Drosophila melanogaster: one gene and its partners. The gene in region 2 interacts genetically with the main gene of each other region. Each region holds a gene or a part of one and is shown on either strand. Other genes may lie near its edges. The genes, in order: aos, Hsp60D and grim.

Region 1 (4,931 bases), on a different chromosome or scaffold from region 2:
AAAGAACTTTGCTCAGTGTAGCCACTCACACATGCACCACCGCATCGCGCCCCTGACTCCCCTCCATTTCACCCATTATACCACACCATACCAAACCGTACCACCGTCATTATGACCATCATCATCGACTTCTCGTAGTCGTCGTGGTCGTATTTCATTCATGAATTTTCTTTCATTCAGGTCTTCCCCGTCTACCCGTCTCCCTCCCTCCCCCCGCTGTTGCCGTCTCCTTCTATCCCCGTCTCAGTCGTGGCTGTTGAAAACGTTTTTAAATACCGGAACTGAATGTTTAGCGCTTTTAAGCATGGGAACTTTTTGTTTTCTTCTATAAACTTTCATCTCCCTCGCTCCCAGCCTCCTTCCTCCCTCCGTCTCTTTCGTTCCCCTGCGCCTGTCTCTTTCCATTTGGCTATTTGCCTCTCTTTCCGGCTGCTCATTCACAGCCTTTTGTGGATCTATTCCGTTGTGTTCTATTCTCCAATAAGGCGTTTTTATTGCAAGTTTCCAAACAACAGGAATTCTCTGCTCAATTTTTTGTTTGTCTATTTAAGGTGTTGTGTTGTGATGCTGCTTTGTTATGCTTTTTTTTATATGTATATGCGTTCCAAAATTTATTGCATGCATTCGGATTACAAAAATTATGAACCAAGTCGAACCATAACGCCTTGGCTTGAAAGAAGGTTAAAATGGTATTATCTACTTGGGTGAGAAGTTTAAGGATACGCTTGGGCTTTTTATAAAGTTACAAATTATACCATGATTATGTTTTGATGATTATTACTTGTTACACATGTACTGATAGAAAGTTAAGAATTTCCTTGCATTGGTAATTTCTCGCCGATTATTACACACTTAGTTAGTGATCCTTTGCAAGGGTATTTCTAAGTCGAACCTTTTTGCTGCCATGCCCCTTTGGCTGACTTGGTTATGCTGTCAATATTTTGCTTTTGATTACTATTGGGTTGATACTTCACGCCTCGGCCTCGTAGAAACATCAAGCAAGAATTCGATTTTCAGGGCGTGTTCTGTCGTATGACATTTGACATAATAGATATACGATACATGATATATGACCGATCCAAGCCCCTCTCTTTCTCAATGGACACTTGATTTATGGCCAGATCGGGAGTGAGAACAATGGAACCGCGGTGACCTATGATCTGAATTCGCATTGTAGCGGATTTAAGGGGAAAGATAACGGCAAGAACTTTTTGGTGTACCGTCGGCTTAGTCATGAATAGCCAGCATTGAACTCTTGACCCGCCCGGCTAATTGGTTTTGGTATCGCTCATATCGTTCGGTTGTATGGCAATTGCGACTTTAATTGATCAAATGCGACAGATCAGTTGATGTGTTGAGCTCTCCGACTGCAAACAACTTTCATTTTTCATCTAGAGCGAGTGTGGCCGCTGCAATTAAATGTGCCATATGCGTATGGTGATATATGAATAGTGGTTTTGTGGGTGTCAAGTGTAATGGCCATAGGGCGGCTGCTAAATATAGACAGAGTTTTCTGAACAAAAGCAAAAAAATATGTAAAAATAACGAACTAAAACTCGGACCCAGCCCAAAAAAGTTGCATTGCAAAACCTGCTGTGCAGAGAAAGAAATCGTAGGTTGACTTGCGCGATGACATTTAAGATATATCTATGCTATAATACATTTGACTGATTAATTGATTAAGCTACAAATCCGAAGATAAGAGACTGTTTTGAGAGTTCTTTGATAAATTGGTATGGCAGACCGTTAGCCGATCTGCTTTTCCCTAATTTGACTGAAATTATCTAATCGATCAATATTGTTTTCTGTGTAGATGCTGCTGTTGCCGTTGATACCGCTGGCGTGGGCATTTTACAAATGGCAACCAGTTGAACAGGTGTCTGCTGACGTTGTTGCCTGCATTATGCAACCTGCCATTGCCAGTTGTTGGTTTCATTGGTACCTTGTGTTTTATTTTATGCTTTTTTACTTAGCCCCACCGATCAATGCAAACATGCAATTAGCCAGGCTAATCAAATGAATTTAGTACTTGCTAGCTACTCACCCCCACTTGGTAGAGGATGCGCACATCCCGATCGCCGTGCTTGCCGCCGATGATGCTGCGATGCTGCTGTTGTTTCTGCAACATTTGTCGCGCATGTCGCCGCGACTCGGCGAGATCCTTCTCCGCAGCCGCTGTGGAGGAAATGCTCACAACGGTCAGTTGCTCGGTGGCGGGCTTCACTGTACTGCTCGCCACTCCAGTTGCTGCCGCTGCTCCTGAAATATCTTTGGCATCGTAGACGACGGTGTACTGCAGACTCTTGTGCTTGTCCGCTGTGGATGTGGTCGGCGTAATCTCGAACACCTCGAGCGGCAGTCGCGTGCCGCCGACAGCAACGGCAGCGGCGGTCAGCAGCAACAGCAGCATGCACGGCAGCAACATCAATGTCGTAGGCATGATTTATGACTCTGACTCTGGCTGGGATCTCTGGATGTTCGAGAATCTGGATCTGGATCTTGTATTTGGATCTTGGGATCTTTCCGAATCTCCGTGCGTGTTGTTTTCTTGCGGTTTGTAATTGACACTCAATGAATTTTGTAATTGAATTCGAATCAAATCCAATCGAATCGAATCGAATCGAGTCGAATCAGTGTTCTCGCTCTATCTCACTCGCTCGCCCAGAACCCATGGCTTACATGCACACACACACTGGCAGAAACGAACTCTACAAATCAGGTTTCAAATCGAACGATCGATTGATTTGTGGCGAATGTCACTCGAAATTATTGGATATTTCATTCACTGCAATCGGTCGGTGGTCGGTAGTTTCTGTTTGCTATTTAGTAACTTAACACCCGCGACGTCGCTGTCTCCGGTGGCCTTTCGTCTCGTCTCGTTTTCGTCTTTTCTTTCGCTCCTGGAACGTATACCCAATGGTACCGATGCTATATTATATCGTATCGTATCGCCTCGGTTACTCTGCCCTCGCTCTATCGTTGTTCGCTCGACCAACTCACTTTTCGAACTGATCAAACAGAAAATCCAAAAACGAACAGCGCGCGGCGAACGAGAGCCGTTGAAGCCGGCAGAGAAGTGCGCTGCTCGCGTCGCTGCCGGTATGTGCGTGTCTGTGCACTGAGAGAAAATGCTCGATTAAACAGAGAAATTAATAGTAATATAAAAAAAAAAAAAATTTGTTTATTATTCTCAATTCAATAAAATGTAATTATTTATTATATTGGTTGTATAAGAATTTTTATAAAGTAGTATAAATTTTCAATCAAATAAATATGTACATCTAACAAAAAATGTTATTATCTTATAACAAAGAGGTAAAATCATAAGTAGTACGAAATCTTTAAAAGAGAAAGTGTGTTACGCAAAAAGTATTCAAAGCAGTCTTTTGAACCCACTGTTGTCTTTTCACATATTTGGTCAACCGAATTTGTTCCCAGTGCATGAGCGGCAGCGTCCGAACGTGAGAGAACACGAAAGAGAGTGGGCTGGATATGAATGAATGAACATGTTGTTGCTGCCTTTTTCCGCTGGTGGTTGCAGCATCCATTGCTGCTGCGCCTGTGTGCGTGCGCGCATCTGTGAGATGCATCTGTGACTAAGCGCGGCTGTATTGGTGAGAGCGAGCGGATGGCAAGGTGTCTCTGGCTCGCGTGCTTGGCTTAAAGCAAAAGCAAAAGCAACAACGAAATAAAATACAACAAAATAACAAAAAATTAAAAGGGGACTTCGCAGCCAAGCGGCTCTTGCCGCTTCCGTTGCATCCTTTCGGCCGTTTTTGCTGCCGCCGTGTTGTTTTTGTCATTTTTACTACGGCACCGGAAACTAATTCCTGCCTTAGCCACAACGACCTGGACTTGGGCCGCCGCCTCCTCCTGGCCTTCATCGTTCAACCTTCTCCTTTTGCCATGGTTTCATGTTTGGGCCTTATTCTTGTAGCGCATGCCAAAAAAAGAACAACTGGAGAAGAATCCAGAAAAGAGTTTAACACAAAAGGAAGATCGAGCTTAAAGTCGATGCTTTAAATGCCCTTCGAAACAAAGCTTTAGTGGCGAACTGGCTTATAAAATCGGCTAATAAACCGCTAATTACCTTGGTAATTACAGATCATAAAGTTTAAATGGATTTGGGTCTATCAATAAACTTTTATAGTAATACATGCTTGAGAGTTGCAAGAAAATGTAATGTTTATTTAACACCAATTTTTATACTACAATACATTTATAATGTAAAAGTAATGTAACAATGTTAAAAAAAAAGTTTCGTATTTTTGGCGTGCCTTTGATAACTTGATTGTCAATTTGTGAGGTTTTCAAAAAAGTCTGTTTCGTTAGTCTTTTTTTTTTTGTTTGGGTTGTTCCTTTGTGATTATTCCTTTCAATATTCTTCTAAAAAAAATATGAATGCCCCAAGATAGTGTATATGGAGAGTACGAGAGAGACCTGGAAACGATCTTCATCTCCATCTTCAGCTTGGAAGTTCAAGCGAAAAACGCGCGAGGTTCGGCAGAAAGCCCGCCAATTTTATGGGCCAAACCCGATAAGATTTCATTTGTTTACGAGTTACCTTGAGACGCGCCAGAAACAACAACAATAGCCAAAACAACAACAATACAAGAACACAAGAAAGAGCTGGCGATATAGGAGCATTAAGCAGAACCGACAACTCCAACTGAAAGGCGGCCATTGTTAGTTGGAGGTGGTTTCCCTTTTCCCTGTTCCATTTAACCTTTTCCAATTCGATTTCTAGCTAACGACCAACAGCTGATCAAAGAACGTATCTCTTTTTTCTATCATTCGCAGGTAAAATGTACGCGGTAATTGGCCGGCGGCACGGCAAAATCCTCTCCGGCGATTTGACCCAGGGCAGCGGCAACTTCGCGGTCACCTGTCTGCTGCCGGTGATCGAGTCGTTCAATTTCGCCCAGGAGATG
Region 2 (3,987 bases):
TGGCCAGTTCATTGTGGCGTATACGTGATGCAAACTGACGCACTTAAGTGTCCCTAATCACCGTTAATGACAACGCTGTATATGCTCGCCCCATTGACATATAGAACCTCCTATGTAACGCCCATATATCATGATAAATAGGAATGCCCCTGCTGACATTTCCTCCCCCCACCCGCCAAAAACCCAAACTCAAGCCACAAATGCTTTCATATTTTGTTTGTTGTCCATTGGCACCCAAACAAAGCGCAGCAAATGGTTAAGGTCAAGTTGGGCGCGTGTCGAAGTGGAGGAATAGGAGTCGGAGGACGTCAAGTTATGACTGAGTGCTTGTGGGTGGCAAAGGAGCCGGATCCGGAGACTTCGGAATGTGAGGGGTCTATTGAATGTGGCATGCGTGCTCATATATGCTCTAATTAGGGATTCGACAAGGAAACAAGTCATAAATGGAAGGGAATCGACAAATACACTGCAAAAATAATAAAATGGGAAATGGAAATGTTTAAAATTATTTTGACAATGGCAAACAAGAAACTCAGAATTATTTTATTTTTTCTTTGTATTAACCATTTAGTTTTTCAACATAGAATTTAGGTCTTTTTATCATTACATAAAATGTTGTGTTTCTTCAAAACGCACTACCTAACCTACATTCCAACAAGTTTAGCAAGATCCTTGGTGACCTGATTTTTCGGAATCTTCGGTTTGGTGGGTTGTTTAGTGATGAGCACCTCGGTGGTGGCCAAAAGGGAGGCAATTCCTGCGGCAGACGTCATGGCTGATTGCAACACTTTTGTGGGATCCACAATTCCCCGGACCACAAGATCGCCGAATTCCCCAGCGGCGGCATCATATCCGTAGTTGCCACTGCCCTTTAAAACCCGACGTAGTACCTCGTTGGGGTCCACTCCAGCATTCCGGGCAATTGTATAGCATGGTAGTCGTAAAGCGTCCTTTACAATCTCCCTGCCAACCTGGAGCTCCATTATATCGGTTGGCGGCAACTCGTCCAGAACTGGAATACATCGTAGATAGGCGGTTCCTCCTCCGGGAACCACACCATCACTTATGGCCACTCGAACGGCGTGAAGGGCATCGTTGAAGCGATCCTTTCGCTCGCTCACCTCCAGCTCACTGGTACCGCCCACGAAAATGGTGGCCAGGTGGCCCTGCAAGCGACCAAGTCGTGTTTTCAGGCGATCCAGTTCCACATCGGTGAAAGCCTCATCGATCAGCTCACGAATGTCCTGGATGCGGCACTGCACCTGCTCCTCGTTCACATTGATCGGTTGCAATAGGTGCGTTTCCTTAGCGTCCACCACCGCCTCCATCACCTCACCCAGATCCTCCTCGCTGAGATCCGCCAGACTGGAGGCATCCTCCAGAAGATGGCCACCGGTGGCAAAAGCTATATCCTCCATTTCCTCGCACTGCTCGTCCCCAAAGCTTGGAGCCTTCACAGCACAGACCTGAACTCGACCTTGCAGATTATTTAGCACTAAGATCTTAAGCAAATCGCTACCAAAATTTTTGGCAATGATCAGAAGGGGTCGTTCTTTTAGTCTGGCCAGCTCGAGAGCGGGAAGTATCTGTTCCACTTGATCAATCTTAGCCAAAGTGAGCAGCAGCAAGCAATTCTCCAATTCCAGGGTATGAGATTGCTTGGCAAAGAATGGCGAATAGTAGCCCGAAGCGATGGTTATACCCTCCTGGATCTTAGCCTCATCGAAGGGACTGTGGGATTCCTTCAGCAGGATGACGCCGCTATCGCCCAGCTCCAAAATGATGTCACCAATCAGCTCCGCCAGCCGTTCGTCTCCATTCAGTGCCACCTTGGCCACTGCTTCCACTTGGCCAATAGTATCCACCGACTGGGACATCTCACCTAGAGCATCGCACACAGCGCGCGATCCCTCGAGAATGCCCTCCCGCAGGAGTTGGACGTTCACCTTGCTCTGGCGCAACACATGCATACCCTGGCAGGCTATTCCACGGGCCAGAATAGTGGCCGTGGTGGTGCCATCGCCTACCTTATTATTGGTATTATTGGTGGCCTGGCGCAGCAATTGAACTCCCATATCCTGCCGACGATTGCCCAGCTGCACGTTATTCGCCACCGTGATGCCATCCTTGGTGATCCGGGGCGAGATCAGCAGCTGTTCGATGAGCACGTTCCTGCCCTTCGGGCCCAGAGTGGTGGCCACCGCGTTGGCCAGGACGTTCACGCCCTGCATAAGCAGGCAGCGCGCCTCGGCTCCAAAGCGAATGTCATTGGCAAAGGTGCGCACACCGGCCCGACCACTCCGGCCCAATCTGCTCAGCATCCTGATTCCTTGATACTCACGTTGCTTGTCGCAATTTTGAGAGAACTTTTAATTTACGTTTATCAAAAGCTTTAACTGAAATTTAATTACCTTGATATCGGTAAAGTGTAGAAAATGTTAATCTGGAAAAGTTCGGTCATTTTTGAAGGGTAACTCACTGAAATATATATAATTACAACTTCGCGGTTTGTTGGTTTATAAAAAAAAAGTATTTTTATTGATCAAAAACTTAAGCGAATGTCGGAGACAAATTCACGTCTTACACAATTGAAGTATGAATAAAATCTAAATCTAATTTGCAAAGCGAACGCTTAGCAAACCCTTGGCTGAGCTTATTTACTTCTTCATATTGAGCGTACATAGGCTCTCATTTATGTTTACGTTAATTAGGCGCTCTCTTGAGTGGATTGCGCATGGATATAGATCAGCCGAGTTTGAGCTACGTGGAAAGTTTTGACCCTTAAAGCTGTGTTAGCAGTTTTGACCCTCTGGTGGGAGTCGCGAATGCGGCTGCGGATGTTTATGTCTGTTGGATTGGGTGCCTTCTTGAGTGGATCACTCATGGGTACTGATCAGCCGAGAACTTGAGCTGCGTAAGCGGTTTTGACCCTTTGGTGGGAATAACTGATTCGGCAGCGGATGTTAATGTTTACATTAGGGTAGGCTGGATTTGTTATTGTCACCAGAATTTGGGTTCTTATTGGATACATGATTTTATGACTTATATCCTAAGGCATTCTATGATTTTGTGTATGGCTGTTCCTATGTGGTTATGTATGTGTGTGTGTGTGTAAGTATATGTGGTCTTATACTATGGCACATATGCTACTTCCCCATCCTTTAAATTTAGCCTGTCCTCAGGCGGATATTCTAGGATACAATACAGGATTAGTATCAAATACTGTATTTATATTTTCTGTTGTTGTGTTATTTTGTTGTTCTATTTGTTGTGGATTCTCTTTTTTATATTTAACAATTAGTTTTTTGGGAATGCCTTTATATTTATAAATAAAATATAGTATAAGTGTAAGTATTATAATAGCAAGTATAGTTAATGTAATAATTTGTAATGTGTTGTATGTATTAGTGTGTTCTTTAATTATTTCTTTAGCATTTAGATATGATAATGGTTCTAATTTTGTTACATTGTTATTGATATAGACCGTTTGTGTGTAGTCTAGTGTTGTGCTTGTAATTAATATGTTTTCTATTTGAACAGAACAATTAAAAGCTTTTATTATATTGTCTCCTTCTATTATAATTTCTCTATTAATTATACAGTTTTGATTTAATACAATTTTTGATAATTTCCAAGTTAAAATTATGTTTGGTTCTACATAAGTTATTCCAATATTGTTATGTGTTTTTGAATATCTGCATTCTGTTGGTATTTGATTTAATATTCCTGTAATACATTTGTTTATTATTGGCTTTCTTGAGTTTTGTTTGTAAACTTGATTATCTTGAATATAATATTTATCATTTACATTTTCTATAAGTATATTATTATCTTTGTCTGGATATGGTATGATGTTAAAAAGTGCAGTTTTTATAATGTCTCTAGGAATATGGGAAATAATAAGTATTTCATTTGCATCTGATTTTAACCAAGTAGAAGTTTTTATATTTAGCAATTTTTCGGAATTTACATGTGATAATGGATCAT
Region 3 (4,090 bases), on a different chromosome or scaffold from region 2:
CACCTTTGCTTTTTAACCCTTTTGGGTGGAGTGTGCCTGGCATGACACGACGGGAAAATTCTCTGTCTGCCCTTAACCAAAAATGTGTTTTCCCTTTTAAGGTGACATATTGGTTTTGACGATAGCGATCGCTAAATGTTTGCTTACTCCGCCTTTTCCTGGCAGGACGGTTATCCTTTGCCATTTCATTGCCCAAAATGGAATACAAAGGCTTAATTCATAAGCGGTTATTAAAAGAGTGTATTAAACAAAATTTCATATTATTTTGACGTATTTTTTTATAAAAACTTTGGTGAAACAAATAAATATTCTTTTGAATTTATTTTAAAAACGTTTTAGTTTATTTTTAAAATATTTTAAAAACGCTTCGAATAATTTTTCAAAAACATTTTAATAGAGTTCTACACCTCCGAAATAAAAGGTAATTAAATATATATATCTCGGCAATGGTGTTGGTAAAATTCTTTATGTTTTTCTGAAAAGGGACAATAATAATCGTTCAAAGTATTTTTTAATTTTTTATAAAATTGTATTTATTTTTTGCTTGTTTGTCTTATAAAAATTTTAATTTCTTACAAATGCTATCTTTACATGTGATTAATTTCAATATTTCTTGTTTAATTTGCAATGCCAAAATTAAAATAATATGTTTTGAATTTTGCTAAAATCAATAATAATGATAAGATACATTTCAAATTTTGTTATTCTTGATTATTCGTATCAAAATTGCTTAAATGTTTGTTGTTGTTTTGTTTAATTTTTGTTAAAATGTATTCTGTTCGGCGGTTCTTGTATTCTATTTTTTGTAGACGTTTTGTATTTTCTCTCTTTGTTGTAAACATATAAAATTTGCTGTTTGCTTAAAATCTATTTTGTACAATTGAGTTGTTGTCTTTTGTTATTCTTGTTGCTGCGGTTGCATCTTTGTTTTGTTGTTGGTTCTGTATTGTAGTTCTGTAATATTAGTTTACGATTTATATTTGTAAGTAGTTGAAATGTAGTTGAAGTAGTTGAAGTAGAAAATTTGACAATTATTTGTTAGTTGAGTACGATACTTGTGGTTTTGCTCATACGTATAGACACTAATAAGGTTTATGACAATTTTACACATTTCTCTTTATGCTCTCTAAATGTTGTTAAGTATGTTTATGTATTTGAACCAACCGGGAAACCTTTGCTTGCAAAATTAAACATTTTTTCAAAACTTATATCGGAAAATTTGACATCCAAAAAAGTAACAAACAACCAAAATCACTTTAAGCAAGTCGATGACAAATTTTGAATTTTCTCTCTCTCAAAAATAGTTTAAAAATAGTTTTCTTATTTTGTTGTGGAAATATCCCATGTTTTACAAAACTCGTTCCTCCTCATGTGTCCATACCCAAAAAAGAAATCACAATGCGCTTTGATTGAGCCTGCCTTTCCCAGAAAATCCCAAAGATTTTCTCTCCACCAGGATGAAATATGGAAACCAAATTTAGTTCTCCTTGGAGGTGGCATCAGTCACGTCGTCCTCATCGTTGTTCTGACCGCCGCTGCTGATCTCGAAGGATATCTGAATGACCGTCGGTTGACGCTGGCTCGAACTGTAGCTGTAGATTCGCAGAGCGTAGCAGAAGATCTGGGCCAAAAGATCCCAGCATCCAAACTCCGACATGGTCATCGATCCCTGTTGACTTCCCAGCGGCACGGAAATATTGGCACGGAATTGTGGGCGCTGTTGCTGATGATGATGTCGCTGCTGCTGCTGCTGTTGTTGCGATTGTTGCTGCTGCTGCGATGGTGCAGCAGCTGTTGCAGTTGTCCTTGGACTCGCTGCTGTCTGCTGGCCGTTTTGCTGATAGCTTCTGGCCAACAATTGGGCCTGGTCGGGTATGAAATAGGCGATGGCCATGGCGGTATTTAATTTAATACAAAATGTGATTTTACAAAACGTATGAATCTTTAAAAAAATATATAACTTTAGTGTAGCATATATTTTTAATGTTTGATTTCAATATCGCTGAGGAATAATATATTCCATTCACTGCTTGCACTTTAAGTCTTGTAAGTCTTTATGTTTCGTATCGAGCACTTGGAAAATTTTTCTGACTCATTTGGCGGGAAAACGAACGAGGAAACTTGTCGCTTTTTGACGAACTTTCAACTGCGCTTTTCGCTTCCGCTTGTTATTCAATGTTCTCTCGTCGAGGTTTCAGAGTGGACTGACTGTAAATATCCTTGCTGCAGTCACATTTATAAAATAGCTCTCTTTGTACTTTCCTATAGGAAGCGAGTTCCTCTCTCGCAGTGAATGTCACCCTCCCAATTTCCACCACCCCCCGGGAGTTTGTGTGTATTGTGTGTGTGCTTTGTTTATGCCAACAACCAACCAATTGAACCACCAACCACAGGAACCCACACCACTGACAATGTGCCACCACCACCGCCAGTTTACCACCCCAAAGACACGGCTGCCTTTGTTACCTTTACTTCGGAACTAGAAAGGGGGTGGGAAAGTGGCTGAGAAGCGGTGAGAGACTCGGGAAATGAGAGCGGAATTGGGGAAAATCATTTCACGTAAGAGTGCTACGTCAAATAAAACGTAAGCTCTTTGGGATTTCGTTGTTCGAAGCGCGGCATCGAATTCATTTCGAATTTCAGGGGTTAACTTGGGCGTACTTGCTCTAGCTGAGTCTAGCAATTTTGAGGGGAAGTTTGGTCGTCGTATGCTCATTTCGAATTTCGAACTTGGATTTCACTACGGATGAATCAACAATTGTTTGTTATGACATTTTGGTTCGCATAGAAACTGATTTTTGGTGATTAAATGCAATTTAATCTTGCTTATTGTACCTATTATTAGTATAATTATTATTTTCAATATTCATTAATGGCAAACAAATTTATACCAGGGACCAACGAGATCTTTTCTTACATTGTATCACTTTGGGTTATTTATAGTATACTTCTTTACATACTTAATATATTTCAAAACAGCGGAGTCTCCTTCACCTAAAATCTCTTGGAACCACTAACCCGCTTTCAAGTTAAGCATCCTTCAACTCAAAAAGCTTGCACGGCAAATCTTTGATGCGAAAACCTTGCGTAATGGTCCTTGAAGATTCCCCCTATTGCAGCCTTAAACTTGACCATAACAAAGGGCACCCAAATGGATTGACCTTCAAGCTAACGCGAATCCAGCTCCCTCAAACATTATGCTGACGACAATTTCAACCTTGGAAAATGTTTGATCCCAGCTCCCCCATTTTCCGTTAGCTGCAGCTCATCCATTATGATAAGCTGTTCCCGGATAGTTGCAAAGTCAAGAAAGCAGTGGCTGTGGTAGAGGGGTATGAAGAAAGTATACTTATGCAAAACTGATTATAAGAAAAATTGAGAATAATTTTTGGGTATAATTTCATGAAAAAATAAATTTTATCAATAATGTAAATTTATTGAATTTGTTTTATATAATTTATTTACAATCATGATGAATTAAAATCTTACATATGGAATAAATCATAATAACGATTTTTTTTAATTAGACAAGTATATTGTATTATCTCCTCCTCTGTCCCAAATGTTCAATAAATGTCATTTAACACTTTAACATTCCAGAAAAGGACTTCCAGGGAGCGGAAAGCATAAAGCCAATTGAGCTTATTTCCTCCCCCTATGTAACATTTTTGCTGAGGGAGCTCCAACAAGGCCATCGCCAAGGCCAAGTCCGCCACTTGTGGGTGATGTTCCACAAGTCTCCTACCGGCAAAAGCTTTTTATTTCTCACCCAACTGGCTTCAAGGTCGTGCCGGCCGGCATTTCCACCCACATTCAGCTTTTCCTCTTCATTTTTGTGCGTGCGACCTTGACAATGAAATTCGTTTAGGGAGCACAGCTCCTCCAAAGAAAGTGTGGGTGAGCTTTTCCTGACACAGTTGACAGCACGTGGTCGTTATATTCTGGCATATATATAAATGTCAAGCTCAAGGTCGCTGGGTATCGATTTGCCGAACTTGGAGGGTCTGTATTACTTACCATAAAAGTTATGGGTTGGGGGTAACTTTGCTTATAAATGGTGTGCGGAAAATGAGGTGAAATATTTTTAAAA

Evidence for each region.
Region 1: of Hsp60D (region 2) and aos, changing one suppresses a phenotype caused by changing the other (phenotypic suppression), as found in Drosophila melanogaster (one study listed by BioGRID).
Region 3: of Hsp60D (region 2) and grim, changing one suppresses a phenotype caused by changing the other (phenotypic suppression), as found in Drosophila melanogaster (one study listed by BioGRID).

What each region holds. Positions count from the first base shown.
Region 1 is NT_037436.4:16,480,637-16,485,567, forward strand, and holds the start of aos (argos), read right to left. Parts: upstream 3,015-4,931; 5' UTR 2,441-3,014; coding exon 2,045-2,440; intron 1-2,044. Other genes in the region: CG33158 (uncharacterized protein), read left to right, coding at 4,801-4,931. UniProt on the Drosophila melanogaster protein: Regulates cell determination; development of ommatidia and optic lobe. Is a signaling molecule involved in the process of axon pathfinding in the eye. Part of the Ras pathway regulating programmed cell death in pupal eyes; activated by lozenge (lz).
Region 2 is NT_033779.5:13,447,026-13,451,012, forward strand, and holds Hsp60D (heat shock protein 60D), read right to left. Parts: upstream 2,473-3,987; 5' UTR 2,322-2,472; coding exon 645-2,321; 3' UTR 513-644; downstream 1-512.
Region 3 is NT_037436.4:18,302,206-18,306,295, forward strand, and holds grim (grim), read right to left. Parts: upstream 2,213-4,090; 5' UTR 1,895-2,212; coding exon 1,478-1,894; 3' UTR 514-1,477; downstream 1-513. UniProt on the Drosophila melanogaster protein: Activator of apoptosis, independent of rpr and hid, that acts on the effector Dredd.